Linked DNA regions of Mus musculus. The protein of the gene in region 2 interacts with the protein of the main gene of each other region in a biochemical or structural test. Links are inferred from orthologs where the notes say so. Each region holds a gene or a part of one and is shown on either strand. Other genes may lie near its edges.

Region 1 (2,748 bases), on a different chromosome or scaffold from region 2:
TTTTGTGACTGGCAGTGGTTAAAAATAGACACAAAATGGACATTGGATAACTGTTTCCAGTAAAGGATTAGAAAGGGGGTCACATTTGACTGAATGCTCTGTTGGTATTTTCTTCTCCTTACTTTGTGTTTCTGACCCTACTTTAGGCCTGGCGACCCTCAGTCAGCTCAGGATAAAGCACGGATGGATAAAGAATATTTGTCCCTTATGGCTGAGCTAGGGGAAGCTCCTGTCCCTGCATCTGTGGGCTCTACCTCTGGGCCTGCCACCACGCCCCTGGCTAGTGCACCAAGACCTGCTGCTCCTGCCAGCAACCCACCACCACCGGTGAGCCCTGGGACAGTTTTCTGGTCTAGCTCCCCTGTTCTCTTCTGCAGAGATAAGGAGCTATGGCCAAGGATTTGGGGTAAAGCTTAGAGGTGGATATAGCTGGCAACATTGTTTTTCTGGGATGTCTGGCCTCTGTAGGGTCACTTTGGGAGGACCCTGTCCGTGTGTCCTTGGTCCTCTGACATAGTCAGAAGAACAATGTTGCCACCAGGGGGCGCAGGCGCGGACATTGGCAGGAAATGCTCTCACGTAGTCTCTCATGTCTACAACTCAGAGCCGCCCACCCTGGATGAATTCTGGTCCTTCAGAGAATCGGCCCTACCATGGCATGCATGGAGGTGGTCCTGGTGGTCCTGGAGGTGGCCCCCACAGCTTCCCACACCCATTACCCAGCCTGACAGGTGGGCATGGTGGGCATCCCATGCAGCACAACCCAAATGGACCACCACCACCTTGGATGCAGCCACCACCACCACCGATGAACCAGGGCCCCCACCCACCTGGGCACCATGGCCCTCCTCCAATGGGTAAGTAAGTGTCAGACCAGAAACCTTGGGGCTTGGGAGGGGAGATAGGGTCACCCCAAGTAGTGAGCTGTGAGCTGCAACAGCAGTTTGGCTAGCTAGTACTCTGAATCTAGCTAGTACTCTGAATCTTGCTGAGGTCTAGGCTCATGGAGGATCTGTGCGGGGAGACCCATGAACTTTTGGGTCAAAAAGCTGAGAAAGCTATGGTGTTTTGCCTGGCCAGTTCAAATGTCCTGCTAAGTCCCTGCTCTTTCCTTCCATCAAGATCAGTACCTGGGAAGTACGCCTGTGGGCTCTGGGGTCTATCGCCTGCATCAAGGAAAAGGTAATGCTGCTTACTCTCTTGGGATCTCTGTCTAGGACTGGGAGCAAATGGGGCTTCTAGCCCAGGACCCTGCTCTCTAAAGCCCAGGACCCTGGTCTTACTGCCTGCAGGTATGATGCCGCCGCCGCCTATGGGCATGATGCCGCCGCCTCCGCCACCTCCCAGTGGGCAGCCCCCGCCTCCTCCCTCTGGTCCTCTTCCTCCATGGCAGCAGCAGCAGCAGCAGCCTCCGCCACCCCCTCCGCCCAGCAGCAGTATGGCTTCCAGCACCCCCTTGCCATGGCAGCAAAGTGAGTGGAATATTTTGGGCTTGTGGGGGTGGGTGGGATGTGGGCTAGGGCTGAGGGGAACAAGAACCTCATAATTTCACACAGGCTGGAGACACCTTCATTGAGGACTCTGGTCTCTCAGCAAGGGCAGTGGGGTTGAAAGCCAGGCTGCCTGGCCCAAGGGAATGTCTTGGGGAGGAGAGCTGATGTTTGGCGTGGTTGTGTTTGGGAGAGACTTGGGAGGTCTGGAGGGGAGCTTGCTGTTGTAGATAGAGCACCAGAAGTCCAGGCTAAGCTGCTGAATGAGCTGCTGGTTCGGCCATGCCTTGTGAGCGGAGTCAAGAGTGGGATGGTGCATGCATGTTCTGGAGGGGGTTGTGATTGGGCCTGAGAGACTGCAGAAAAAAGGGAAGGGGCCGATGGGGAGAGAGTAGTTGTGGGCTTGAGGTTGAATGTGCCGTTCGGTGGTGGCGGCGGCTGGGCGGAGGGACGTCAAAGCCGGTTCTTGTGTCTGGAACTTTCCCCTGAGCCCCTCCAGGGGCATTGGTGACAAAGGGCTTACTTTGTTAAGCCCAGAGACCATGAGGCTGACCCCAGGGTAGTCCTGCCCACCCCTCCACTCCCATCACCAGGACAGCCCCGCCCGCCCGCCCCCCACCACCGTACAGCATGCCAAAGCAAGGAGCAGGCGCCCCTCGTCCCCCCTGTCCCAAGGCAGCAGCCGCAGAGAGCCGCGGTGTACCCCCGCGCGTGTGACCTTGGGCTTCTTTACTACCCCAGATACGACGACTACCACCACGAGCGCTGGCACAGGGTCCATCCCGCCATGGCAACAGCAGCAGGCGGCTGCCGCAGCTTCTCCAGGAACCCCTCAGATGCAAGGCAACCCCACTATGGTGCCCCTGCCCCCCGGGGTCCAGCCGCCTCTGCCGCCCGGGGCCCCTCCCCCTCCGCCGCCTCCGCCACCTGGTTCCGCCGGCATGATGTATGCCCCACCCCCTCCTCCTCCGCCTCCCATGGACCCTTCTAACTTTGTCACCATGATGGGCATGGGGGTGGCGGGCATGCCGCCCTTCGGGATGCCTCCAGCTCCCCCACCGCCTCCACCACAGAACTAGACTTGTTTTTTTTTTTTTAAGAAAATATATATTATATACATAGAGAGTTGGTCTCTTATAAACACACGCCGAACCTCACCATATGGAGCCAGACATTGGGATGCACGCATGTGATTGTGTGTGCACGCATGTGTGTGTGTGCACGCACTGGGCTGGGCCAAGTGACTGGACTCGCTTGG
Region 2 (3,824 bases):
AGATCTTTTGTGAGTTCCAGGCCAGCCAAAGCTACACAGAGAAACCCTATTTCAAAACCAAACCCCCAAAACAAAATAAAAACTTATATTTGCTTTTAAAAACACAGTATTTATACCGACCTTCATAAGAAAACTAATAATTCTGTAATTATTAACCATTAGTTTAAAAAAGTATTTCAGTGTCTGTGACTTTTAACTAGTTAAGTATTTATTCTGCTATAAACTCAGGGAACGCATCTGTCACATCCTAGCACACATTTAGTGTCAAAGGCCCTGAGTAATACTAAACTTAGCCCCCCAGTCCAAGAGCAGTCTGTTTAACAGAGAGGAAATGTAGGAGGCACTTGTCTCATGACTCTCCAGTGAGTCTGAATTATGGTATTAGGGCTACAGCAGAAGACACCCAAAGTCCAAAGGATTCTGGCCAAGCATCCCTTTACTACTGGGATTAAATATTTTTCCTTGCTGTCTGACCAAGGAGTGAGGAGTTAGGAAGCAAATTAGAATTTAAGATGTGTGGCACAAGAATTGTGCTTCCTACCTATTCCCATTACTCCCTCCTCTCAGAACTGTACTTTCCCCTCTCAGACAATTATGGGAGGCTATGTTCTTTTTGAAAATCATTTGTAAGGTTCTAAGACAAAAAATTTCACAAGCATTCTGCTTCAGAAATATTTTTAAATATCAGCTATGGATTTTTCTGTTATTAAACTTGAACCTTAATTAACCTTTTTATTAACCTTTATATTAATAAAAATGCTCAGAAGCCCAGTTTTTCAAGTATTAAAGTATTTGATGTAATAGCACGATTTTTCTATTCACCTTGCCAACTTTGTACCTAATAAATATCAATCGTAAGTGTGTCTGATAACTAGAAGGCAAAATTACACTAAATAGTATATATACTCTATGTCAAAAGATTTGTTCTAAGCCATGAGAATTTATATTAACTTAAAAGTCTCTAAACATGTGAACTATATAGTTAGTCTTTAATGTGTGTGATACTTTAAATAACCTCTTACATCATGACATACATGCTAGGGCTGCTAAGCACAACAAGTAGTCAATACCTGAATAAATGGAAAAAAAATGAAATTTACCATGAGCTTAATTCACAGTCCTGTTTTCTATCCTTACCACAGCAAAAATACTTACACCACATGGCATAACATTTTAATTAATTAATTAGTTAATTAATTAAAACGCCAATTGTCTAACAGGGTTAACTCCAGGCCTACAGCATCAAATGTGTGGTATGAAGAACGAAGTATTTACAATGAGTAAATTGCAGTAAATAAAAGTTTCAATATTGACTTTTGCAAACAAAGTGCACATAAGCCAAATAAAAGCAGACCAACTCTAGGGAGGTGGTTTTCATAAACTGGAAAGCTGCGCAGACGCAAACCTCACTACTCACACAGTCAATTACCTCCTGCTGCTGCTGCCAGTCTCACCACTAACAAGGCTACAATTATCTTCTAATTTTTTAAGTGTAAGATTAGCAGAAACAATACAGAGAGAGTGATAACATTTTTATTAACCAAATACTTCACAAAATGTGAACAAGAGATCTACTTAACCCTTATAAATTCTCTCTGGTCTAATAATCCATTTTGTATTTTTGAAATTAGCTCAGACTTTCAGTCTTTTATAAGCCAGAGGATAAAGAGGTCAGGGGGAAAAGTAAGACTAGTAAGTACCAGAACTGCGGACGTTAAAGCAACAGTACAAGTAGGAAATCTCTAACAGTGCACCAGTGATGAGCAGCTCTTAAAACTAAATTAGAAAACTGCAAAGACTAGCACTTATTATAAAAATAAAATCCATGTTATCTCAAACATGTTTAGAAAGTTATGCCATAAATAATCCAATTTGTAAAAGTGCAATGATAGACTATCAAATGATCATTTACTTGGTTTTCTTTAATTGAATATGTTATTCTAAAAGTCAAAGGTAGGGGATGGAAAGATGGTTTAGCAGTTAAGAGCACTAGTTTCTCGTCCAAAGGACCAGAGTTCAATTCCCAGCACTCACATGACAGCTCACATTAGTTCCAGAGCTTCTGACACTCTCACACAGACATACATGCAGGCAAAAGACCAGTGCACATAAAATGAAAACTAAATTATATACTTAAAAAAAAAATCAAAAGCAGCAATTTATGGGATTTTAAATGAACATATGAGATGTGATTTTTTTTGTTCACATGATTTTTCTGTATGTTTAAGAAGCATAATAATTTTAAGTCACCTGTAAAATAATTGTATAAAAATTTACTTTGAAGCCATCAGATAATCAGAATTCTGCTATTACTGTCAAAAGCTGTTTCATCTAACTAGCACTCTTACTAACTTAATTGAAAGAGGCGTCTTAAAAGTGAGCCTTCGGATTACTGCCCTAACAAGGTTTCTTCACAGAATCTGTAACATTTTAGCTTTCCACGGTAAGCAGCAATTCTGAATGTCAGGCGTGATTAGGCTCCAGACCCCCTTCCCCTATTACAAAGAGACCGGAACACTGAGGAGAGTGACTGTTTTGATGGCTGGGCACCACTGGGGTCATCTGCCCGCTGTTCTGCCTCCACAGTGCTGAGCTCTCTGTTCCTGGCATTGCTATCAAATGACATTTCAGATGCATTAATCTTTAATAGCTGACCTTTAATTCTGATAAGCAATAATTTATATGTAAGATACGTTTACTAAAAGATTAGAAACTAGTTTACTAAAGTTATATTTTTATAGAATACAAAGAGTAAGAAGTCCTTTGAAATTCAAATGTTAACATCTAAAAAGACTTCTGAAATCTTAACACACTTTAGTGATCTCAGAGCATGCAGTTCTAAAACCCAGTTCCAGGTTGACAAGGCACCTTATTTATCAGAATTTAAAGCAACTGTATATAGTTTGCTTACGTTCATAAAATAAGCATTATGAAAAGAGGTGATTATAAAGTGATTATAAATGTGTATGACAACTGTGCACATCCAAGGAACACACATGCAAGTGCTCCCCTCCCGCCTACAACTAAGCCGCCTCACCTTCTCCCCTCTCGTCTTCGAATCTTCTTTTTCTTTCTTCCTTGCAGCTGCCACAAACTCATTAAACAATGCTTCTCTATCTTTCATCTTTTCAATTGCTTTGAATCTTGAATCTTTAGCATGTTTGGCAGCAAATTCACTAAAAGTAGCTCTGTAAGAAAATGGTCAAGCATGCTAACTTTAATTGACTATTTCTGTTTCTAAAACAAGCATAAAGGAATTACCACTTTCCTAGCAAGAACATATACCACAGACATTCGGGTCCCAAATTCAAACTGACCCACAGGAAGGAATAGAAAGAGTGACGGACTGAAAATGTGGTTAGTGAGTGTATGCTACCAGCCCAGATTAGGGGAATATAATAAATTACTTTTTAATAAAGGCCAGGAATGAAGAACACGTGCATCTAGAGACTTAATGACTCATCATGACACTCCAGGGTGTAGCCAAGGCTTGCTTCAAACACAGTGGAAAATCTTTTCTGACTACTCTTCACAAACTAGACAAAGGACGTAGGGCAACTTATTTAAAGCAGATGACTAGAGATGAGATGACAGTGAGTTACCTGAAGGAGAGAACTCCTGAGGTACACCCTACTGGAATTCATGTACAACACAGGGCTAGAAACCTGCAAGAGTTTGGGCACTGAAAGAGCAGAGAAAACACGAGTCCCCAGAAGACTGACTGAAGGATAATTCCCAGTGGGGCCTCAAACACAACCCACGGTTGAAAAGCATGGCATAACCACTTTCTGTCACCAGGATTAGAGTAAAAGAGCAGGGCTGAA

Evidence for each region.
Region 1: the proteins of Tcerg1 (region 2) and Sf1 form a complex in vitro, tested with the Homo sapiens proteins (3 studies listed by BioGRID). The link is inferred for Mus musculus from reciprocal best matches to the Homo sapiens genes TCERG1 and SF1.

What each region holds. Positions count from the first base shown.
Region 1 is NC_000085.6:6,373,427-6,376,174, forward strand, and holds part of Sf1 (splicing factor 1), read left to right. Parts: intron 1-146; coding exon 147-327; intron 328-583; coding exon 584-857; coding exon of another isoform or gene 858-861; intron 862-1,122; coding exon 1,123-1,182; intron 1,183-1,292; coding exon 1,293-1,472; intron 1,473-2,231; coding exon 2,232-2,569; 3' UTR 2,570-2,748. UniProt on the Homo sapiens protein: Necessary for the ATP-dependent first step of spliceosome assembly. Binds to the intron branch point sequence (BPS) 5'-UACUAAC-3' of the pre-mRNA. May act as transcription repressor.
Region 2 is NC_000084.6:42,563,447-42,567,270, reverse strand, and holds part of Tcerg1 (transcription elongation regulator 1), read right to left. Parts: intron 3,189-3,824; coding exon 3,038-3,188; intron 1-3,037. UniProt on the Homo sapiens protein: Transcription factor that binds RNA polymerase II and inhibits the elongation of transcripts from target promoters. Regulates transcription elongation in a TATA box-dependent manner.